4 linked regions of the Tribolium castaneum genome follow. Each later gene encodes a partner of the first gene's protein in a complex. Links are inferred from orthologs where the notes say so. Each region holds a gene or a part of one and is shown in the gene's direction. Other genes may lie near its edges.

The links.
Region 2: the proteins of Ran (region 1) and Nup50 are in contact, whole or in part, in a crystal structure (PDB 7MO0), measured with the Homo sapiens proteins. The link is inferred for Tribolium castaneum from reciprocal best matches to the Homo sapiens genes RAN and NUP50. Residues at the interface, in NP_006316.1 of Homo sapiens: Arg29, His30, Thr32, Gly33, Glu34, Phe35, Glu36, Phe52, Val124, Asp125, Ile126, Lys127, Ser153, Asn154, Tyr155, Phe157, Glu158, Phe176, Ala178, Pro180, Ala181, Leu182, Ala183, Pro184, Glu186, Val187, Asp190, Pro191, Ala194, Tyr197; in NP_009103.2 of Homo sapiens: Pro344, Pro345, Lys346, Val347, Val352, Lys362, Cys363, Lys364, Phe366, Tyr367, Lys368, Asn371, Glu372, Phe373, Lys374, Glu375, Lys376, Gly377, Ile378, Lys384, Lys390, Gln392, Leu394, Arg396, Thr399, Asn400, Leu401, Asn403, Ile404, Leu405.
Region 3: Ran (region 1) and Ranbp21 share a complex: the UniProt entries of both Homo sapiens proteins name them as parts of the nuclear export receptor complex. The link is inferred for Tribolium castaneum from reciprocal best matches to the Homo sapiens genes RAN and XPO5.
Region 4: the proteins of Ran (region 1) and cdm are in contact, whole or in part, in a crystal structure (PDB 3ZJY), measured with the Homo sapiens proteins. The link is inferred for Tribolium castaneum from reciprocal best matches to the Homo sapiens genes RAN and IPO13. Residues at the interface, in NP_006316.1 of Homo sapiens: Lys37, Lys38, Tyr39, Leu43, Gly44, Val45, Val47, Pro49, Trp64, Gly74, Leu75, Arg76, Asp77, Gly78, Tyr79, Ile81, Gln82, Asn103, Arg106, Asp107, Arg110, Val111, Tyr147, Trp163, Arg166; in NP_055467.3 of Homo sapiens: Leu33, Tyr34, Tyr35, Ile39, Lys42, Gln46, Leu49, Met50, Gln53, Glu73, Tyr76, Phe77, Ser80, His83, Ile84, Ile118, Thr121, Arg122, Val125, Val172, Glu175, Glu176, Thr179, Ser414, Asp415, Arg784, Asp785, Pro787, Asp788, Pro829.

What each region holds. Positions count from the first base shown.
Region 1 is NC_087395.1:25,443,633-25,449,916, forward strand, and holds the start of Ran (GTP-binding nuclear protein Ran), read left to right. Parts: upstream 1-2,580; 5' UTR 2,581-2,712; intron 2,713-6,284. UniProt on the Homo sapiens protein: GTPase involved in nucleocytoplasmic transport, participating both to the import and the export from the nucleus of proteins and RNAs. Switches between a cytoplasmic GDP- and a nuclear GTP-bound state by nucleotide exchange and GTP hydrolysis.
Region 2 is NC_087402.1:5,414,437-5,419,798, reverse strand, and holds Nup50 (nuclear pore complex protein Nup50), read left to right. Parts: upstream 1-2,440; 5' UTR 2,441-2,654; coding exon 2,655-2,813; intron 2,814-2,867; coding exon 2,868-3,869; 3' UTR 3,870-3,908; downstream 3,909-5,362. Other genes in the region: zinc finger protein ztf-16, read left to right, coding at 1-804, 857-1,561; mip130 (protein lin-9 homolog), read right to left, coding at 4,168-5,362. UniProt on the Homo sapiens protein: Component of the nuclear pore complex that has a direct role in nuclear protein import. Actively displaces NLSs from importin-alpha, and facilitates disassembly of the importin-alpha:beta-cargo complex and importin recycling.
Region 3 is NC_087402.1:11,608,262-11,614,403, forward strand, and holds the start of Ranbp21 (exportin-5), read left to right. Parts: upstream 1-2,388; 5' UTR 2,389-2,516; intron 2,517-2,644; 5' UTR 2,645-2,670; coding exon 2,671-2,946; intron 2,947-2,997; coding exon 2,998-3,219; intron 3,220-5,965; coding exon 5,966-6,142. Other genes in the region: phenoloxidase-activating factor 2, read right to left, coding at 395-645. UniProt on the Homo sapiens protein: Mediates the nuclear export of proteins bearing a double-stranded RNA binding domain (dsRBD) and double-stranded RNAs (cargos). XPO5 in the nucleus binds cooperatively to the RNA and to the GTPase Ran in its active GTP-bound form.
Region 4 is NC_087395.1:23,156,209-23,162,463, reverse strand, and holds the start of cdm (importin-13), read left to right. Parts: upstream 1-2,501; 5' UTR 2,502-2,701; coding exon 2,702-2,854; intron 2,855-2,901; coding exon 2,902-3,069; intron 3,070-3,112; coding exon 3,113-3,265; intron 3,266-3,333; coding exon 3,334-3,452; intron 3,453-3,504; coding exon 3,505-3,642; intron 3,643-3,691; coding exon 3,692-3,887; intron 3,888-5,332; coding exon 5,333-6,178; intron 6,179-6,227; coding exon 6,228-6,255. Other genes in the region: Pex5 (peroxisomal targeting signal 1 receptor), read left to right, coding at 1-32, 81-285; RanBP3 (ran-binding protein 3), read right to left, coding at 767-883, 934-1,029, 1,163-1,974, 2,027-2,101, 2,222-2,240. UniProt on the Homo sapiens protein: Functions in nuclear protein import as nuclear transport receptor. Serves as receptor for nuclear localization signals (NLS) in cargo substrates.

The sequences.
Region 1 (6,284 bases):
TATGTAAAATGAGCCGCAGAATTCAATAGAACAAACCGCATTGCTCTACGACTTTTAGTTTTTTTTTATGAATTTTTTTAGTGAAAAACTTTGATCGCCTCTGTAGCCGGAACCGTTGCCCGGAGCGGCTCCGGGTTTAATCGAAAAAATAGAGAAAATTAAGCGCTATCAGATGGTTTTTTGTTCGTTGCTCTAAGTCTTACAGTTTCCGAGAAAAACGCAAAAAAAGGTTTCCATTTTCACTTTTTTTCAATTTTCAATCGCCAATTACGGCGAAACTATTAAAGATATCGAGAAACGGAAAAATGGAGGATAACCGGAATAAAAAACTCTACAAAATGGCATAGGACTCGCAAAAAAATTTTCAATTTTCAAACGCCGATTACAGCCAAACTAAAAGAGCTAGGAGAAAACGCTTTTTTAGATCGAAAAGAGCACATCAAAATCTATAAGATAGGATCGATTTTATTTGATTTTGAGACACTTTTAAAATTAGCCATTTTGTGGGAAGGGGTGTTAATTTTTTTTTATTTTTTTTATTTTCTCAATTACGACTAAACTACTTGAAAAAGTGTAACTGTTTTAATCCATACTAATGCAAAATGATCTGGAGAATCGATTGGCATTGAGAAAATTGCCAAATTCTCAATAGTTTTTAAGTTATATTTTTTTTTTAATTCGACCAATTTTTGCTTTTATTTGCAATTTTCTCGAAAACTATTAGTCGGAGTACAATGATCTTTTTTAAAAAAGATGGATAATATAAAGAGCTTTCCAACGATAGTACACTTCATAGAGTTATCTCTCATAGTTCCGGAGTTATTGCTCGATAAATGTTCCGGGTACTCGAAATCAACCAAAATCGCGACAAAAATTGGAAAAATTAAACATAAAAAAATCGAACATATGAACTTTTTTTGAACTTTTAACAACTCTAGTGGATTGTTAAGATATATAAAAGTCCATAAAACTATGCTAGAGTGAGTTTAATTTTTTTTTTATGAAAGTATTTGCGTTGACCATTAAAATTTTAAGCAAAAAAATTCAAAATTTTAAATCTCGTAAAAACCCGGTATAATACGTAGAATGAGCCGCTTTGCTCTCAGACTAAACAATTCTTTTTAAATCGCAATAAAATTTTGCCAACAAAAAAATTTTCGGATTGGGAAAAATTGGTGAAGATACTTATTTTCATTGGGGTCGATGGTGCAGAAGGGGAAGTTTTCGGCGGCGGCCGAGCTCTTGGTGAGCACATTGAAGAAGGTGGACTTGCCGACATTGGGTATCCCGACGATACCGACCCTCAAGTTGGTGCCCACCCGCCCTATGAGCGGCTTTCTCTCCGGCTCTTGTACCTTTTTAGGTGGCATGATCTGCAACACGAGCAACAAGACCGAATTAAACCACCTTTTAGATAAGGTCACGAGTTGGCATTCTGCGCCTTTTTCGTCCATTTTCCGATATGCAAATCGTCGGTTATGCGTTCAAATAATAACACACATCACCGACTGCAACTTAATTTGCACAAAATAGCAATTTTCAATCTGATACCGAAATTGTAACTTAGGGACTTTGCAGAGCGTTCAGCATTTTTAAAAAAGCACTACATAATAATAAGCTCACCGTTCCATAGGCTACAATTTCGAATTTACCATCAATTCCTACTTTCATATTAATGTAATTTGCCACACAGCGCCCCAGGCCCTTAAATCCGCCGTTATAATTTCGAAATTTCGCTGATTTAATCAATTTTTTACTAAAACAAGAACCGTCTCAAATTTCAACCAAATTCGAAAACGCCGCGACCCGTCATCACGCAAACCACCGCCAGGTGGCGACAAGGACCCACACACGATTTAACCCACAAAAACATAATTCCCGCAAAAACGCGACTAAACATTACGCAAAACAAACTTTTTTGTCATCTAATCCCCAAATAAGCAAAACAACAGCGAGACATGAACCCGATCGGCCCAAAAAACACGTGAAAGTTGCATAACCTCAAAGCCATTCTGTCGTTTTTTACCGCAAGACAAAGCCATTAATCGGAATTTTTTTTACACCGATCCATTCATACACTCGCACTACTCACCTCGATAAGGTCTAAAAGTGTTTTTGTTAAAGAATCAGAAAAACTCACAACACTACACAATCACCGGTAACCTATATTTTGACAGATAAGCGATCTTTTTTTAGGTTCGACGCCCGGCTAAAAGGTGGGCAAAAAAATAAAATTTTGATTTGTTAGCACATTTTCCCAAACGAATCATTCACTAATTATTGATTACTAATTAAAAAAAAACCTGATTATAAAATATCTGTAGCTCCCCCCCAAGCAGGTGTTACTCAATTGTTTAAATGCAAAATTCCCAAGGACACTTTCAACCCCTCAACTAATTAATTATTTTCTCATTAAATCTCTACGGAATTGTAAAAAAAAATATTTGGACAAAGTTGGGTAAGACCTACGAAGAACTCTTAAGACAAAATATATTTTTTATTAATGAATTAATTAAATTTGTTCCTGATCGACGTTCGATCGTTTTTTGTTTTAAATAAAAAATCCCCAAATGCAAATTTGACAACTTGACATTTGCAATTATTTGTTTGTGTGAAAAGTGGGACAAAAATGCAAATTTGAGGTGAAAAAGTGTGTTTTGTGCCAAAATTTCGTGTTTACTGAGTCTCTGGTCCTTCGCTGTGTGTGCTTTGGTGAGTGAAACTCAAAAAAAATTAGTTATAATGAACCCGGCTTTTAACAGACGCTCGGATATAACAAACAAAATTATAAGTCCCGTTTTAAAGTCCTATACCTATTGTAGTAACAAACTGGTTCGGTTTTAACGAACAAACAAACATCACTTTTAACGTCCAATATTTAGGCAAAAATACAGTGGCGTCCGTTTATAACGAACCCATTCATAACACACTTGATTGAGTTGTTGCTGAATTAACGCATAGGAAAGGTAAAATCTTGGCCATTTTCGACCAAATCTGGTGATTTTTTCGTTCCACTTTAATAAAAACAGGAAGAAAACCTTGATTTTTGGTCTAAAAACATGTTAAAATTCTCAGAACTTGCAAAAATAATGTCATTTTTGACATAAGTCTTTGATTTATTGAGAAATTTTGCACAATAATGAAGTTTTTGCTGAATAAACGCTTAGGAAAGATAAAATCTTGGTCATTTTCGACCAAATCTGGTGATTTTTTCGTTCCACTTTGATAAAAAACGAAAGGAAATTTTGATTTTTGGTCTAAAAATGTGTTTAAATTTTCAGAACTTGTAAAAATAATGTCATTTTTTACATAATTCTGTGATTTATTGGTTTACTTTTTAAGAAATTTTGCGCAATTATTGAGTTTTTGCTGAATAAACGCTTAGAAAAGGTAAAATTTTGCTGATTTCCGACCAAATTTGGTGATTTTTTCACTTTAGTTTAAGAAAAACATGAAGAAAACCTTGATTTTTGCTCTAAAAACGTGCTTAAACTTTCAGAACTCGTCATTTTTGACATAATTCTGTTATTTATAATTGAGTTATTGCTGAATAAACGCCTAGGAAAGGTAAATTTCTGGTCATTTTCGACCAAACTCTAAACTCGGACTTATCGGACTTATTTGCCTTATTATCATAATATGTAATATTTTTTAATAAGTCTATTTATACTTTATTTCCTGTATCTATTCCAAACTTTGGAACTCCTTTAACTTGAAAATTGTTCTTTGGGTGTTCGTTATGACCGCGTTCCACTGAATTGTTGATTTTGCTATTGCCCACCTTGTGTGTTTGCGCCAAGTAGAAAATTGCGAAAATTTGTTTGTTTGCGAGTAAATGCGTCTTAGAAATAGTATAGAATTACGTATTCCGGAGCAGTTGATTTCCATTTGGGTCCCGGAGCATAGAATGAGCATCGAATCGCACAATTACCGTATGAAGACATCAAAGCGATCGGAAAGCTCACAGGTTATTCAGGAAACCGCAATTGTTGCAAGTGAAGTGCACAAAAGCTTCACCTACAATAGCATTCGCCACATCCGGAATGTCGTAGCTTTTGGTCCTCTGTGTCGTCGTCGATATAATAAAGTATTGCGTTACTCTTAGCCTCGCCGACAGGAAACTGCAAACGTTATTCTGTCATTTTACGAGCCAGCATTTCAAAAAAGCCCATTCTTTGCAAAACATGTTCATTGGACGGGGGCCCTTGGGCCGCTGCCAAGCCTAATTCGCCATAAAAGTAATGAGTCGCTGCCTCATGATATACATTGTCAAAGAAATAAAAGTTTCTGCCTTTGGGGGCCAAATCAAGACCCGGCTCGCTCTTTTATCACTATAATCAGGCCGCCAGCGCCAAGATGGCCAACATCTCGACCACCACGTGAACAATAAGACGGCTCTGATTTTATAAAACTTTTCGGAAAAATTGCGATTTTTTTTTGTTTGAACGAAGCAACTTCCGAGGGTGCTTCCGGTGCACTGTGTGGCACGGGGCGCGATGCAGCTGTGGGGGGCGGAACGAGACCCGCCGCCGGAGAGGACGTCACCTCCTCTAACACATGGTCGCGTCACAATGTGACGGCTTCTTGTTATTTTATATCGGTAAATGTATTAGCGGAGATGGACGGCCTACTCGTTTCATTGCGACAGGGGTGGACACGCGCCCTTGTTTGCCCCAAACAGACCCCCACGAGAGCGACAACAGTATGGAAAAAAATCTTATTCAATTGTACGAAAATGTGTGCTCACAAAGATGGGACTAAATACTTTCGAGAGATCTTTTTTGAAAACATATTAATCTTCAAATCTCGCTTTAAACCGATTTTTTTTTTGTAATCACAATTTGAGAAACGAAAGGACTCGAAGCAGAAGAGGCTTGTTGATTGGTAAAGTCATAAAACAACAGAAGGTACTAAAATTTTATGAACTGTTGCTCTTTTCGAGCCCTGAAGCCCTTTTTCCACAAGGTTTTGCTAAACCGAACCGAAAAATTAGAAAATTAGATGGAAAACGATTACTTTTTGCTTTTTATGAACTAAAAACTCAGTTTTTTTAATTTTGCTAATGTAAAAATAATAAAATTTTTATTGCAATTTTGACTTTAATTTAATTAAAAGTAACATTATTTATAGGTACATGCGTTTGGTGTGAGAACGATCAGAACTTTTTGATATTTCGGAATTTTTTAAGACGAGCTCACCTAATAATTTAATTGCCTCATTAATTTCAGCAAGTTTTCCAAATTAGAAGTTATTAAAATTGTAAGCTTAGTTCATGGTATTTAAGGTGACAGAACCAGATTTTCATAAATAATTGTCTTCTTTAGGCATTTGAGCACATTTTTAAGTTAAAATTTATAGAAATTTTTTAGTAGATTCTTCTAAATCAAGGTGAGAAATCAATTTTCTCAGCTTTTTTTGAGGGTTTTTGCATGTTTTTCAGAGCGCACCGCAAATATTTCGATAAGATTCTCAATAATAACTCGAAATATCAGAAAATTTTGTGGAAAATGAAGCACTGTTTTAAGTTAAAGCCATAATTTTTCTGTAAGATTTCGCTGGTATTTATGTAAGATTATGAGTGTAATTTACTCAAAAATATTCTCGATGAGAGAGCTATAGGTAATAGATAATATTCTACATTAAATTATGGCTGCACTTAAGTCAAATATAATTTTTTAAACGTTTGCTAGGAATTTATTTTCGAGAGACTTTTACTAAATCATGTTGAAATGTCACAACTTCCTCAGCTTTTTTTCGAGCGTTTTGCATTTTTTTGAGACAGCAACGCAATTATTTCGTTAAGATTCTTAACAATAACTCGAAATATCGGAAAAATTTGTCAAAAATGTTGTTATTTTTTTGTTTTATATAAGTGTAATTTACTCAAACATTTTTTTAACCTTCTCGATAAAGGAATTAGAGTTTTATTAATTCTTGCTTTTTTCGAGCATTTGGGCATGTTTTCGAGCTGAAAAATCACGTTTATTGTTTTTTTTTCAATGTTTTGCACGTTTTTGAGATCTCAACGCAATTATTTCGAGAATTTTTCTATGAAAAATCAAAAAATTATGTCAAAAATAGTATTATTTTTCCCTCTTTTCAACGTCTAGTAAACACTTTTTCGAAATTAAGATTTCGAACGGCTAGTGCATTTTTTAGGCAGAAAAGCACTTTTTATTTGGATTTATTTTTCTTAATAATAGCTGGAAAAATTAGAGAAGTATTTTGGAAATGGCTTTATTCTTGCCTTTTGAACTAAAGACCCAGTTTTTCTGTGAAATTTC
Region 2 (5,362 bases), on another chromosome or scaffold:
GAGGCCGAGCGTGTGACGGGTTCAAACACGAACTACGATTCCAGCGAAGGCACCCATCGCTGCACCCGATGCGACTTTGAAGCCGTTAATAAAGTAGCCTTAGCAGCCCACGTGTCCCAAGCCCACACCACAAACGAAGTCAAAATGGAAACAGAAAACAATAACTCACCACCCGACCGGATACACCGGAAGATGTTCGAATGTGACGTCTGTAACATGAAATTCAGCAACGGGGCGAACATGAGACGCCACAAGATGAGACACACGGGCGTGAAGCCCTACGAGTGCAGAGTGTGCCAGAAGAGGTTCTTCCGGAAGGACCATCTCGCCGAACACTTTACCACTCACACGAAGACGTTGCCTTACCATTGCCCCATTTGCAACAGGGGGTTCCAAAGGCAGATTGCCATGAGGGCCCATTTTCAGAATGAGCATGTGGGGCAACATGACTTGGTCAAGTCGTGCCCGCTTTGTAGCTACAGGGCGGGCTCGATGAAGAGTCTGCGGGTGCATTTTTTCAATAGACATGGGATTGATTTGGATAATCCAGGCCCGGCTGGGTCTCAGGCGTCTCTGTTTGCGGCGGCCGCCCAACAGGGCTTTTCCATGGACAGTGCTTTGACTTCGTTGGGTAATTTGGCGGGGAGCGTGTCTGTGAGCGTAACAGGGGCGAATTATAGCGACTCTGGGGATTCCACTGGCGCTCGTTCGACGGATAACGCAACCCCACCTATGCATTTTCTAACACCACACGTGGAGATTTCAATGGCCGATGCTCCGGCGCCCGTCTTTTCCCCGAATCTTGTAAGTCCAGTTTCAAAGCGATTTAGTCCTGTTTCTTAGACAGTTTGTTTAGAACGACCAGCGTTCGAATTTGCCGGGCCAAAGCGGCGAAGTGTCCCAAAGGATAAACGGCGAGTGTCCCGGCTCCCCTCAATCAGCCGACTCCAATTCGAATGCTCCGTCCAGCAGCCATATTCAACCAAATTCCCTTAGAATAGACCAAGAAACGAACATAACGCCCTCAATTTCCCTCATCCCCATAAAACAGGAACCTGGAGACGAGCTGTACGACGTTTCCAAACGAAACGGCCCTAACCCAAGCACCTCTCCCTCGGGAAGCGTACAAATGCAAACAGCGACCTCAAGTAGCCTTAGCTCGTTAATCAAAGTGTCTCCGTTGAAGAGCTTACTTCGTGACGATTTAAAGAGGAAGATCGTCTCGCGGATGAACTCCTCGCCAAGGGGGCGCTCCACCGCGAGTCCCAACCAGAATCCTGAGACTTCGCCCAGTGACACGGCGACCACCACCAATGGGGCTATCACCTCGACGGGGCCCGAACAACCGTCGGACTCCTCCCTGTGGCGGGCGATGGGCAAAAGGTCTTTGTCTAGTTTACAATGTATTTTCTGCGGGATCGGATTTCCAGACCAGACTTTGTACTTTTTGCATAAAGGGTGTCACTCCGACGCGAATCCTTGGAAATGCAATATCTGCGGAGAGCAGTGCTGCAATGTTTACGAGTTTAATTCGCATTTGTTGAGTAAAAGTCATCAGTAGGCTCGATTTACTTAAACTATGACATACTTTGTAAAGTTTAGATTAGTTCAAGTTTCATACAGTTTTACACGGAAAAATTGAGTATGTGATAATTTGTTGTAGAAATTGTTGATGCATTTCTTGTTTTTGAACAAGTTCAGGGTTTTATGGGTACATTTACGAGCATTCCGTTTAGTTTCATTCCCTTTTGGAAATTGTCCAAGTGCCTGCCGGTTGCCTATAAGCAAAATTACCTGAAGATTTGCTCTAAACTCATATCCGTCCATTAGTAAGAAGAGAGGTATATTTACAAGCATGATATTTTCCAAAATATATTGTAAAGCAAGTGCTTAGTCTCTATAGTTGGAGCTTCATTACATTGTTACATAAATTAGAATTAAGTTTTACATTTTATATATACATTCCATTTTAGTGTATTGTTGATTCCATGAGACAGAAACAAAATAGTTTGTACAGTATTTATTGTTATATTTTATGGTAATTTTATTTCGTGCAATATATTTTGCAGTGCCTTAAACAAAATTGCACTCGGACGTTTAAGTTCATTTAAATTTTTTTACGAAGTAAGGATTTTATTTTCGTAGGCAATTATCGTAGTGTAGATAGTAGGGCGACATGTTACATTCCTTCAGTTCATTCAAAAATATAGATATATTTTTTTTTTATTTATACACAAAATGTAAATTACAAATTCTTGTAATTCTGGTGAAAGGGTTAAATAAACTTTATGGAATTTTCGTCTCGCTTCGTTTCAATTACACCAGTCTAAAAACAAACACCGGAAAGAAGTCAAAAAATGAGATTCGTATCCGCTACGACTGGCAAAAAATTCCACCGGAAAAATACCGCCAAATTTTAAGTTCGTAGTCACGTGATTAAATTCCCGCCAATCAGCGTTTGCCTGATACGAGCCGGCACGCATAGTGGTTGTCAATTTTTGTAAATTATTTTACCCAAAAAAGTGCTTAAAACGAATTTTTCCGTCTCACGACATGCAAATCATTAAATAAGCCAATTCTGTGATAGTCTATGTTTTGTGAAATTGTTTGGAAGTGTGTCGGTATCTTAACCTCGCAAATTCGTTTCTCCATTTATGGCTAAAAGAACGGCAACAAGTGATTTAAATCACGATAATTGGGATAGGGAGGACGAACCAGAGACGGCTGGAACGTTTACAAAAGCTTCAGATGAAGCTTTGAAGAACAGAGTTATAAAAGTTGCCCGCAGGAGGAACCCCATATCATCAGTCCAAGTCAGTACGGTTTCTAATGTGTGTTGTTTGATTACGAACAATTTTAATTTTTAGAGTGACGATAGCAAACCCAGCGCATTCGGTGGTTTTTCTGGGTTTGGTAAAACGCCAAGTAGTGCATCCAACACGTTTGGATTTTTGTCAAACTTAAATAAAACCGAGACTAGTAAAACCAACGGAACTACGGAAAAAGAAGCAGAGACTTCCGACAAGAAATTAGACGAATATTATGCCAAATTAAAAGGATTAAATGAAAGTGTCACTGAATGGATAAAAAAACACGTGTCATCAAACCCGTTTATCAACTTACAACCAATTTTCAAAGATTACGATAAATATATCAACGAACTTGAAAAGGCGAAAGGCGAGGCAGCGTCAGAAACATCAACTAGTGCCACAACTGCGCCCCAATTTTCCTTTGGTACAACCTCTACAACCACAACTCCTAAATTTTCATTTGGGGCCACTTCTACCGCATCCACAGGATTTTCATTTGGCTCCAGTACCACAACAGTTAGTTTCACTTCAAGCACTAGCACAGCTACCCTATCAGGAGGCGACAGCTCCTTTAAATCGCAACCGTTTTCGTTTGGTAATTCAGGCTCTGACAGCGGCAAATTTTCATTCACAAGCACTGTCATAAAACTAGCAGATGAGCCAAAGCCCCAAGAGCAAGAAGACGAAGACGAGCCGCCCAAAGTTGAGTTTACGCCAGTGGTAGAAGAGGGACACATTTATTCAATCAGATGCAAGGTTTTTGTGAAGAAGGATGGCACTTTTGGAGACCATGGCGTGGGCACTCTGTACCTCAAGCCAGTCCCAAACGGCGAGAAAGTCCAACTCATCGTGCGCGCTGATACGAATTTAGGAAAATTAATTTGTAATTTCATTTTGTCGGAAAGTATCCCAATGCAAAGGATGGGGAAAAAGGATGTTATGTTAGTTTGTATTCCAAATCCAGACACGCAACCTCCACCCGTGCCGATTTTATTGCGGGTGAAAAGTCCGGAAGATGCCGATGAGTTGTTGAAAACTTTGCAGAAACACAAAAAATAGGCTAGGGGTGATTAGCTCAATAAAATATTTTTCTAAGTAGACGTTTTTTTTTTCAAACCAATTTTGATAAAAATTTGAACAGTTCTAAAATTACATATGGTGCCTCATATATACATTTTTATTAATTACACAAGTAAAATATACACATTCTGTGAAATACCCACAAAAATACAGTAATTATAAATAAAACCCGCGGTAAACAGTAAGATAAAACGAGACGTGTAAATCGAAATTGTGGCCATTATAGTATTGCACAGCATTCTGCTTTAAAAACCTGCATTTTTAAAGAAAAAAAGTATCATAGTTTGGAAATTCCATTTATGGCGAGTTTTTTATCTAAATTTTGCCCGAGACCGACTTGAATGTGTTTCATGTGAATTTCGACGGAGTTCTGGAACACTAGTTGATTACTTGGCGTCAACTTCCTCTTGATTTGTTCCATCGTGCCTTGGAGCACTTGCAATTCGTATGCGTTTTGATCCGAATCGGCCAAACTTTTTACTTGCAACATCAAAGCCGTGAGATCGGTGATGAGTTCCAGAATCGATTTATTCTTAACTGGATCCTTGTCGGCCGAAATGATCGAATTCTGTCTTTGTACAATTTCAGCGGCCTCTTCTCGGCACTTTTCCCTCAAATGGCTTGGCGCCAGCATCGCCGCCACGCTCGGCTCAGGGGCGATTTCCTGGCAGAGCGCCTGAACATCATCCAGATACAGCTGCAAATCGTGATTTAACTTCTCAAGATCGATCAAAATGCAGGCGTAATTCCGCTGAAACTCTTCAGGAATCTCCGAATGAAACGAATTAAATTTCTCCGCCTTGGCGTTCATGCCCTTCAGTTCGCTGATTTTCGTCCTCTTGACGCTGAGGATTTTCGTGATTAAGACCATTTTTTCCAAAAGTTTGGTCGGGTATCCCCCTATCCGGCCCTCCTCCTGCGGGAAAATGGGCTTATTGATCATCGAACCCGACAGTAAGGGATCTTTCTTGAATTTTAGGTTTGTGTAAGGGGAGATTTTCGCCGCGTATGTTGTGATCCCGTTCCAGGGTCTGAACTTGTTCTGGAAGCTGGACAACGAGAGGGTTTCGGGTGGTTCGTTTGATAAAACTTCATAATCAGGCACAGAATGTGTGCCTAATCCCTGGCGCTCGAATGTTATTCTGTAGGTGTTGTTTGAGGTGTCCACAGCGTCAATGCTTCCGGTGAATAATCCGTCTTGTGGCTTTCTAAGCCTGGCTGTTACTTTTGTACCGATAACCAATTGCATGGGGATTTCAGGTGGCAAGTCTTTAAAACTCGAAAGTTCGGTGGCTTTCCTCTGTTGTAACGCTCTGATTTTTTTCCGTTTTTTCTCCAATTCTAATCTCTCCTCGTGAAAGAAAGCTTGAGAGCAACGTCGGGGTTTCCCCATCATTCTTCGAATTTTGGTCCATTGTACTCTCGTCAGCTCTCGTGTTTTTAACTCAGGAAACGACTCCTTTAGACAGATA
Region 3 (6,142 bases), on another chromosome or scaffold:
TTTAAAAATTGGTCAAAACGTTCTTCTATACAATAAAATCGCATACGATTTTTTTTAGAATGTTATATAGATTTTAAAGAGGTATAAAGTGCCTGAGTGTAAAACTTGCCTCAGCTGGTACATATTTGTTGAAATTGAAATGAGGTGTCATTTTTTACGCGCGTGACTGTAGGTTACTAGGTTTAAGTGGAATCTGATTATGGACTTAAATTACATAATTAGAATTAATCACATAACAAAATTTGCTGATTTTAAGTGCAAAAACTTTTTTGTTTGAGTATACAAGAAAAACAGGCACAATCTAATCCAATGCGGTCCAAAGTTGAATTTAGATCGAATTGAATTTGATTCAGAATTATTTTAGGGTCCAGATTCGCATAAATTTTGTCCTTACCTTACATTTATTGATTCTGCACCATTATTTGTTACCTTCAATTCTTTCTTTCTATCACACAAATAATAAGGCACACATTCACATTCTTGTGCGATGGTGTAATTATCCGACATTCTAGGTGCTAATGTGGTCATTTGGTTGTTGTCTTCTTCCTCTTTATTTCCCCATAAATCATCAATTTCCTCATCTAGGTTTTGACAGGAAATTACATAAAATACGCTAAATAAAACGGTTAATAATTTTGATTTCATTCCGCAATAGAAATTTAGTTCAACACGACTAGATGCTCACAGTTAGAAAAGCTAAAATGCGACTGGTTTCTTAATGAAAATGGTATGGCTTGATGTCATTGTGTGCCGTAATGATGATTTGAGTGGTTTGTAAAAATTTAAAAACACTTTTATGGTCGTAACTTTCCCAAACAAAATATTTGTGTTCGTTGTTTTTTTTTCAACGCCGGTGTCAGAAAATTATTTTCTGAAAAATTTCGAACTGAGAAGTAAAATGTATTACGCGAAAAAATTTAATTTATTATATTATTTCTAATTTATTATACAAAATGCCTCATCCTCCATCATTTCACTTAAGTTTACATTTCCTCCTTATACAGTCTGTTAGGAAATGGTTTAGCAAAAAGTGAAGGTAGATAGAGAATGACAAAACGAATCTATTAAGTAACATTTTAATATATCGACAATGCATAGTTTTTCAAAAAAATCGTTTTAATCTTAAGGTTCCAAAGTTTGAGAACCGCTGAACAAGAATGATAAAAATTAGCGTGCACTTTAAAATTATTGATAAAACGGCAGAGGTAAATTAACTTCTTGCTCCATTTCGTAATTCTTTTATTTCAATTTGTGTTTTGTTAATAAATTTTACAAAATAAATACAAAAAGAATTTCATGCCAGAACTGGGGTTCCAACCTCCCACGCAAATCAACATGCTAGCCACAATCTTGAAAAATTCTTATTAATTATTATTATGTTTAAGGAAAAAATTAACTACCCTAAACCACACAGTGGCTCTCAACAGTCTCGACAGTTGGCCAACTTTTTTTTTCAAAAAACAAAAGTTGGTCAAACTGTAAACAAATTACAGTTATCAAAAACTAAAGTGTTACTTTTTTAAAAAACGCATTGTTCACTGTTTTCTTCATTGTTTTTTCAGTTTGTATGTGGCAGAGAAATGTTTACAGATAAAGGTAGAAATACTAAATACTGTATTAAAGTTATGGATAAAAAATAACGAATTTTAAATAAATGATATGCAACATTGTCTAACAATCGCGATCGCAATAAAATTAGATCAACAGTAAAAATGTGTTATTTTTAAACAGTTTTCTAAAAAATAGTACCCAGTGCTGGATACTGATGATCTTGATTTTCTGATAATTTTAAATTTTTCTAAATTCAAATATTAATAATAAATTAAAAAAATAATCATTCCTCATTGTGTTGGAGAACTATTATTTAGTGTGAACCAGAATAATAATAAAAAGTAAAGAAATAATCAAAATAAGTTTATAAATGTTATTTTAAGAATCGGTTTAAGATTTCTTTTCCGTAATCTACACATATTTTTCAACAACTTATCACAATGTTGGTGTTCCAGTGTTTGAGGACTCTGTAAAAACTAAAGTTAAAATGTTAAAAGTTCAAAAACAAATAATAGAATTTTTATTTTACAATTTGTATGCTATAAGCTTAATTCTGTAGGTTTATTATAAATTCAAAATTGTTAGACCTTTAAATTTTATAATCAAAGAATATTGGAGTTTGAACAATTTTTTTAGTTAAAATTTCGACAAAATCAGTAAACTATATACACTGTTGTAATGTTGGTTGCATAAACTTTAAATATAAACATATGAAAAAACATTCTTAATAAAAAAATAAAATGCTTCTCGGCCCTTATCTAATTCTTTACATTTATAGCGTAATTTTCAATATTAGTGAATTGGTGCTAAAAAACTGTAAATATTTTGGTTCAAGTTTGTGGAAAACTCCACCAGATGCCGCACACGCCGGCAATGGCCGGCAACCGTCAATGAGCAAATTATTAGTGAAACATCATTTGTTCGAAAATCGTGTCATGGACTAGAAATAACTCAAAAAAATCAACGTAAGTCTTAAAACCACTTAATTTTCGGTCTCGCCTTAATCACTTCTCACACAATCACCCGTTAAATCCCCCTTTTCCTTCCTCGAACCAAAAGCATGCTGTTTTGCACCATGTGATTGTTCTTGTAGTTTTTTCTCCGAATTTTTCGAAAACGATGGCTGGACCAGACGTTGCGGCTCTTGCTGCGGATTTAGCAAGAGCCGTTGAACTCACAATGAGCACCGGAGCTTCGCAAACCGACCGACTCAAAGCATACAACGCGTGCGAAAGCTTTAAAGAGACTTCACCTCTGTGTGCCGAAGCTGGGCTCTATTTGGCCGCAGGGACGCAACATTCCTTGATTTCGAGGCATTTCGGCTTGCAGTTGATGGAGCATACGGTCAAGTATCGCTGGACGCAAATTTCCCAACAGGAGAAGATCTTCATCAAGGTGCGATTGCTTCATATTGCATCAGATGGAGTTTAATGATTGTTGTTTCAGGAAAATGCAATGAAGTTGCTTGCTGCTGGAGGGATTAGTGACGAACCACACATGAAGGATGCTTTAAGTCGAGTTATTGTGGAAATGGTGAAGAGAGAATGGCCACAACAATGGCCAGGTTTGCTCTCAGAGCTGTCGGAAGCTTGTTCTTGTGGGGAGATTCAAACTGAATTGGTTTTGTTGGTGTTTCTACGATTAGTTGAGGATGTTGCTTTACTGCAGGTGAGTTGGGGTTTTGCGGCTAGGATTTTAGAAACTAAGTTGACAACATTGGAAAAACCGAGCCCACATGATTTTGGAGTCATAGTTTGTTTATAAATTTGTTTTATTTTATTTATACATTTTTCTACCAATTTTACCTATTAATTGTCGATTTTTTTTATAATCAACTATTTAAGAGCCGCCGGGTTGGCATTATCATAAATAGTAATTTTTTTGAATTAAGGTTGGTGTAATATTTTACCTGGCAAATTCAATTTCCAAATTTTTCAAGTTGTCTCTACTTTAAAACACGTACAACACATTTAGTTATTTTTTAGACCATCTTTAGACTAACGAATTAATGATTAACACTAACGTCCAATTTTCAAAAATGTCAAATCTGGTGTTCAAAATGTCAAATACGGAATACAGCCAATTTTAAAAGTGGTTGGACATGCACTGTTAGGGTGATATAGTCTGGTCTTTATCTGATATTTGACACTGACAGTATTTATATAAAAAAAATTAATTATAAATTGTTTGCGTGTTTGTATTGTTATATTTTTTTAAAATGCACAAGCGACCGTAGCGAGTGAAATGTTCGTTTCATTTTATAATAGATCTACTTTTGCATATTTAAATATTTAGTTATGGTCTGACCTTCGCAAAATTGTATTTTTTTGTGCATATTTTGTGCTGCTTCGTTTCTTTGTCGTTATTTACTTGATTTTCTTAATTAAAGATTAAATTATTGACCGTTAAATTGTATTATTAATTTGTCATAATTTCCAAATAAATCTAATAATTCAGTGTTGTCAACTGAATTTCCTAGTCACAGGTCACTTTAATCACAGTTTTGAAGGCCACACAGTTATCGATTCGGGCGACATCTACACCATCAAAGTGACAATATGTTGGCAAACTTAAAAATTAGTTACTTTTGAAAGCCATTTTTTAATTGTATTTACCTTGCTGTTTATTTTAAAAATCTTCGAAAGATTGTTTTGACAACAATAATTGTTACATTACTACGGTTGGAATTTTGATAAAAAAATGTAGTTTCGCAATTTTCATTCCTATTACCATGCTCACTAACATAATAATTATGCATTAACTGGTTGCTAAATTTTCTATGCAGTTTGAGCAAAAGTTTTTTGTTTGTGTTAATGTCGTGATAATTTTTTGTTTTATTTTTTCAATTGTAAGTTTTATTTGTTGTTATTCATATGCATAGAGGAAATACAAAAAAAAATGATAAAATAATTAATATTACATAATTATTATTAAAATATTAAAGTCGAACTTACGAGCGTAAACTACAAGACCTTAGCATAATTTACAAAAGTGTGTTTGAGAAAACGAAAAACTTTATTTTGCGGAACCTGAAAAGTTCAATGTGAAAAAGTTTGTTCGCGCGCAATAGGTTCCAGGTTTAATCCTTTCCATACAGAAAGGTTTTTGAAGAGCGGCAGCGCTATAAAAGTTTTATTTATGGTTTTTTACAAAAAAAAGATGGTTTTTAATTTATAACCTGATGCTTTTAATTTTTATTTCTAAATGTCACATTATTTTATGCTATATTTATATAAATTATTTTAAATATTACTTTTTTTGTTACAAACATGTGCATATTATTACTTTTACTAAAAATTATTGCAGAAAAATATTAAATTTGAAAAAAAAACATTAAATCTAGTTGTATCGTATCAAATAAGACAGCAACTATTATTGTTGTTCTAAAAAGCAACAAATAAAAACAATATTGCCAATATTTTATGAAATATACTTACAATTTGTAAAAGGATTTTCCTGCAACAAGATTATTTTTAACGTCAACATTTTTTATTAACACCATATTACAAAGAGTTTTTATTAACTTTTGTTATTTTTTTTAATTTAATATTTTTTTATATCGCAATTTTTGGTAAAAGTAAACATATTAGCATATTACACATGTTTGAATCAGAAGACTAATATCTTTCAAATTATGAAAAGCAAAATTTGGTTGTCAGTTTACAATAAGAAAGCTGAATATGGCTCGAAATAAGTTATGACATTTAGAAAAATGTTAAAAACAACAAGCTTGTACTATATTAATTATTTTTTGCACGAGTTGATAATAAATGGGAATAAATGAAGTCTCTAGGGGATTCCATATTAATTTGTGACTCTTATCTCGAACGAGAACCCCGGTCCCGGGAATTACTTTTGGGAGCCGCTTGAGGGGGAACAAAGACAATACGTGATGGATAACAAAACTATATTAATATAACAAAAGTGCAAAAAAGAGATTAATTCATACAAACAACACGGAATACTACAAATTGGTCAATAAGGGCTAAACATCCAATTCTCTAGGAATTTTTTACACCGATTTATCTAATTTGACAGGGTTAAGCATACTATCAAAAACAGTAATGTCGGTTGCTTTAAAAAAATAAAAAAGACATAATTTTACAAAAACCTGGATTTTTTTGAAAAATAACTGACAACAAAAATATTAATTTTATGCATTACCACGCATTACTTTAAACTTACTCTATGTTCTAGATATTATTATTAATATTATTACCAAATAATTTTGTACTTAAATTTTACCATCTTTCTTATTTTACTTAAAAATGGAAAATGTACTCTGAACTATTTAATGGAAAAATTTTAACTAAGGTTTAACGATTACATTAAACATTTTAGTCATTTTTTAACCAACTAAAAAATTAATGATGAGGTATTGTTCGTCTTTAATTTGTTTTTAATTCTTTTACAGACGCTGGAATCAAATCAGCGAAGAAAAGACATCTATCATGCCCTCACCGCCAATATGGCGGTCATCTTTGATTTTTTTCTTCGTCTAATCGAATTACACGTGAACCAATTTCGTATATGTGGTGAAACAAATAACACACCGAAATCTACCGCTCATGGTAGAGTCGTTCAAGTTGTT
Region 4 (6,255 bases), about 2.3 Mb from region 1:
GGAATAATTTGTATAAATTTAAGGGCCTATAGGTGACTTTATTTATTTGGAGTGTATTTTTTTTGAGAGGTGTTTTACAGGGAGGCCGCCGAACACTTTTTAACTGCTCTCAACCAACAGGCGAGGGGCAGGGACGTAAAAAATTCACCCGCAATGTCGCAGATGTCGGACACGATATGGTCCACGTTGCGAATGTGTATCTCTTTGTTGAATAAGGTGGAACTTAGGGCGGCAGTGGATAATCGGGACTTGGAAACGCTGAATAAGGCTTTCGATATTGTGTAGAATTGAGATTGTGCAGATTGTTATTTTTGTATGCCCCAAAAAATATACTGTTGGTCTTTTTACAAGTTTCATTGCTTATCTCTGTCCCCGTTAAAATCATTATCCCATTGTCTGTAACTTATTTAACCAGAACAACGGAAAATGATCATTTTTTGCCTTTTGTTTAGGTGTATGCAGTTGTAAGGGGTTTCACTGTAGTCATGTCAGCTTAATAATTGTTTGAATTAAATAGTTTCATTTTTGTGGGTAGCAAAAGGGCTTGTACTTTTTTCAAAGTTTTATTGCTTATCATTACAAAATATAACACATCCAATTAAATGATACTTTTAGATTTTAAATAACTAGAATCGATGAGCGTGACAAAACTTCTGTAAAAACGTTACTGTTTAAAGATTAAAACTTAATTTACATCACATTTGTAGTTTTATCAAAATGAACTCTGCACAATGGTACCGTGAAAATGTTTTATTTAGTAAACAATTTAATTGCCCCCTGAGTCTTTATCTACATTAAGTTTTTTATGTTTTTGGGCTGCTATTTCTTTCTGCACTCTAAGCTGGATCTGTGAGTACAGTTGTTTACTATCTTCAATACTAGCCTGAAACAAACGAGCAATAAAAAATTATTTAAAAAATCACTTTAATTCACCATTACGAGGAAAACTTTGATCACACCTTGCGGGTCCATCGCCGTGAACCGCACGCTTTTCTCACTAGCCTGTTCTACAGTCATTTCCGCCCAAATCTAAAAAATTACCGAAATTAACTAACCAGCTTTAATATATTTTAATGAAACCAGTTTTATTTTTTGATTAAAGACAAATGTGGAAAAATTTTGAAAAAATTCATAGGCCCGGGGAAATAACCTGGCCACTCACTTTGGTGTTCAGTATAACCCTCCAAATCCCCGTTGTCCGGAAAAGCAGCCGACTTTGCGCGTGCCCTTCGCCCTCAAAGTCGTTCAGCCTTAAAACCCCTCGGCCCCTCTCCTGCCAACTCCCAGACGCCTTATCAAACGCGAACAATTTACAATTAATGTTTAAAATATTCGTTTCGTTCTCTTCCCCCGTGATAATTTCCACCTCTTCGTACTTCCTCTTATTGGCCCTCGACTCCTCGTACTCCCTCGCCGACTCACTCAACGACTTCGTTTCTTTACTGGTAATGGTTCCATCAGTTTTGCCCTCACTCTTAATAGCGCTGCTAAAGAGCATTTCCGACGTCCCATTGGAATTTAAACTAGTCGAAGGTTTAGGTTCGTCCGCTTTCGCGTCACTGCCCACAACACGGTCCTGTAGGTTCTGTCCAAAAACGAAGGAAGTTGTCGAGAGGGTTGTGCTGGCCGTTGTTACAACCGGCTGAGTTGAGTTCGTTTTTGGTTCTGTTTGCACCAGTGGTACGAATTTTGGTGTTTCCCCGTTCAATTGAACAGTTTTGCTCTCTTCCTTGGCGCCATCATTTGTTGGTTTAGCAAACGGGTTCAGTCGACTCGGATTTAGAATAACAGCCGGTTTTGCGGAATTGTTAGCGTTGTTTAGACTCAACTGAGGAGGCTTCAAAATGCCACGCGTTGCCAATTTGTTTTGTGAAGTAGCGAACGGGTTTGTTGTAACACTTGTTACTGGAATTCTATCAGGAGTGCACGTTTTGAATTCTTCGTTCTTGGCGTTTTTCTCGTTGTCACCAGCTTCTGGAACGGGGCACGTGAAGCAAACACGAGCAAAGCGAAACGTTTGGGTTACCTGTTTTGTCTTCTTCCGCTGGTGCATCCACTTTCATTGTTATTGGGGGGTTAAGGCTACCACTATTGTCCAAATCTATAAAAGCGACAAAATCAAAACATGTACCTCGCACTAGCGCAAATCTAAACCAATTCTGACCGTTATCACAACACTGATAACAAAAATTGAAATTATATGTTTATTAAACAAACTCACTTTCTGTGGTATCCGCCATTTTTCTAATCAACCAGCTGCCAAAAGAGTGACGGCTGTCTATGCAACCAACACCACACGAAAAACACCCTTTTCCTTGCCCTTTTCCAGCCTTTGGATGATTTAAAATAATCAATAAACACCGTTTTAAACAACACTAAAAAAAATGTTGCGCTTAAACAATTTTATTAATTTTTTTCCAAAATTGTAATTTTTGGGTTGGCGACAGTGGGGGCGCCTTAACCTCGTCCAATTCGTAAATCGACAATTTGTGTTTTTTATCGTGGCAAAAAGTGCACAAAAACGCCCCATTTCCCAGTTGGTGTCAGCCCCCTTGGCCCCCAGCGCGTGTCGTAAGACTGCTGACGAGCGCGTATTTTTGACAGTTATCGACGTAACGCCGACTGTCACTCCGTAAAATGTAGCAAAAGTAAAAACAAACTCGTAATTAATTCGAAGATTTGGTTTAAATTCGCATCAAGCATGGAATACACGGCGGAAAATTTGGAAAAAGCCGTGACCTTATTTTACCGCACCGAAGCGGGGCAACAGGCGGAGGCCCACCAGTGGCTGACCGAGGCCCAGAATTCGCCCCAAGCGTGGAGCTTCGTGTGGGAGTTGTTGAGCCCCCATCGCGTAAGCCTAGTTTCGCGCCAGTGCGTAAAGTGAGCTTTGATTTGCAGAATTCCGAAGTGCAGTTCTTTGCTGCCACGACGCTCCATACGAAGCTGATGAAGCACTGGAATGAGGTGCCGGAGGATCATTACGAGCTGTTGAAGAAGCGCATTCTGGAGGCGATTATTAACTATGCCATGGGCCCCAAAATTGTCCTGAACCGGCTCTGCATTACTGTAAGTTACAAAGGGGGAAGCTTCGACTTATGGTCTGTTCCAGTTGTCGGCTTATATTATACACACTGTGCCGACGCATTGGCCCAATGCGTTTGAAGAGCTGGTTTCGAGTTTCCAGCCCCAGCACTTGCCCAACGTTGAGCCCGAAAGAGTCATTTGGATACTTTTAGAAATCCTGACTGTGATACCAGAAGAGGTAAGGGTTCGGAAATTGAGTTGGCAACACTTAAGTCACAGGCGACTTTGATCATGGTAATTTTTTAGTTTCAAAGCACGTTATTAGCAGTAAGCCAACGGATGAGGGTACGCACTGTCTTGCAAGACGTTTCGAAAGACATCCTTAAAGTGGTCGAGATGTGTCTCATGCCACTTCCAAGTGCCGGGTATTTACGCACTTTTAAATTAATTTCTTACAATTTTTCACACATCTTTTAGCTTCGATATGTTAAATTTGACGACGTATTTAAATGCGGCAAGATGTGCGTCTGCTTGGATACAGTTAGGCGGTTTAAATATTGACGATTGTACGTCAGTTATGAATCTTTTAATAAATTTGACGTGTTTCGCATATTGGTAAGTTCAGGAATCGATTTTGGAAATTTTCTCAGTTAAAATAATAAAGGAACAAGACGGATCCTGAATGCATGTCTCCAGAAGAAATGGAGTTGATGGAAGTGACTGTGGAGGCTCTAACCACCATAATCCAGCACCCGCACACTAATCGGTATCACAACCATGTGATGAAATGTAGTGCTGATATGTTGTACAAATTTGAAAAAATCCTTGAATGTGAAAGGAATAGTCCAGAGAGCAATAAAGTGAGTTTGGTTTAGGGAGGATAAAAACGTAGCCTCCTTGATGGATAGGAAATGGTATTAAAATTGCCTTTTTTGAAAATTAAGCAGATTTTTGGGGGACATTTTTTTTCCAAATTGAATCGAAATTGATACTTGATTTAATTCGTTTTTGAACTTTAGACTCATTTATTTTGTCAGTCAAATAATACGTAAATAATAACACCAAAAATATCTAAATTGATGGTACTTTGTAGTAGTAGCAGCTGACTTCAGTAAAATTTCGTCAAAACTAAGCTGAAAAACTCCAAAGTTTGTGGAAAATTGTATTATTTTTAGCTTTTTGAACTTTTAAAACCCGTTTTTATCTTAAAATTTCGGTTTTTTTACCGAAAGCTTGTAAGATAACATCCAAATTAAATTATTTTGTAAAATTTTGTTACAAACAAGGCGGAAACTCGCCAGTTTAAGCCGAAAATGCGATTATATCGAGTACATTTTTTTGTAGGTAGAAACGTTTTCCCAACAAATAAATTCATTGAAAAATTACTTTCTTACGTTTTTAGCCAGAAATGTCATTATTTCGCACATTTTCGTTGAAAATAAGTCAAGAAACCCAGAAAAATTTGGTTGAAAATTGTGTTGTTTCCATCTTTTTAGTGTTTTTAAGCACGTTTTTGAATTAAAATCTTAAGTGTTGGGTGAGGTTTTGCTAAAAGTGATTGAAAAATCAACACATTAAGCCAAAATTTGTGTATTTTTTTATGAAAAATGTCGCAAAACTGCTTGAATTATTTAATATTGAATTTATTTTGTTGTTACGAGAATTTTTTTAACTTCTTTTTAGGATTTTTTTTTCTTGAAAATTGTGTTATTTTTACCTTTTCACTTTTACACTTTTTTACACACGTATTTACGCAATAAATTCTTAATTTTTTGTGACATTTTGATAAAAGCGCTATTATTTCTAGAATTAAATTAAATTCTTCCATCTGTCGAAATTTGCCTTATTCTTACCTTTTTCAATTATTTTCAAAATAAACTGTCAGTTTTTTGTACGAACTCTTTAGACAAGACTGAAATTAATTACCAAATTAAATCGAAATTTTTTTTTGGCTGTTTTTGGGTGTTTTATTAGGTCTTAAAGCCATAAACGAAATTATTTCGCAAAATTTTATTAAAACCATCCAAAAATTCACAAAATTAAGTCAGGAATTGTGTTATTTTTGCTTTCTTTGAGCGATTAGTTTATTTTTCTTAAGGAGAGACGCAAGATTACGTTGGAAAGTAGTCAAAAAAATCACAGAATTAGACAAAAATTGGTAAACAAAACTGTTAGAATAAAAATATTTTAACCTTCTGCTCTATTAAAGAAAATCGATTAAAATCTGGTAAAAATTGCCACAAATTCCCTCAAGGAGGCTGTGATTTAGTCCTCGATTGAAGTGATGCTGACACGCATATTTTAGGACATTGTAGCCAACTTGTATGGCTTATTGGTAACAATAGCCGACGTGCATTCGAAAATTTTCATCAACAATTTAAAATCGGAAAACGTGGACGAGCAACGAATCAGTTTCGATTTTTTCAACTCGATTTTAAAATGTACAAATCTACCCGGCTTGTACCCCGTTGATGAATCAAGCAGTACCTTAACTTTCGGTTTTTGGTACACGTTACAAGACGATATTTTATCGCTAGAAACGGCCGAATGCGCCCAATTGTTACTAATGATAAAACCCTACTATCGCGACTTAGTTTGTATAATGTTACGCAAATCCATGTTTCCATTGAATGAGGACGGCGATTGGTCGCTGGACGATAAGGAAGTGTTCCGCTGTTACCGGCAAGACATCGCCGACACGTTCATCTACTGCTACAATGTTTTAAATTTGGAAATGCTCGATATTTTGAACAGTAAATTGATCGAAGCTCTACATAAGAATAATACATCGGTGGTTCCCCCGCCTATTCAATGGAACGAAGTCGAGACTTGCCTTCACGCCTTCGGCGCAATTGCCGAATCTATCGAACTCGAAAATTTATATTTGCCCAAGCTGATGGTTACGATTAAAGAAATCCCCTTTACCGACTTGCACAAAAAAGTCATGGCTTCGGCGCTAGAAACCGTAGGCTCGTACTCTGATTGGATCACCGAACATCCAGAAATGTTGGAAAATGTGTTACCATTGGTGATTTCGGCGCTAGACAAACCCGAAGTTGCAACCAGCGCTACCATGGCCTTGAAAGACTTGACACATAGCTGCCAGAAGTATTTATTACCATACGCCGACCATATTCTGCTAGCAGCACAAGTAGGTCATTCCGCCAACTTGAATTGTTACTTAAGTCACCACTTTTCAGTCTGCGCTACAAGGGGGCGCTTTGAAGT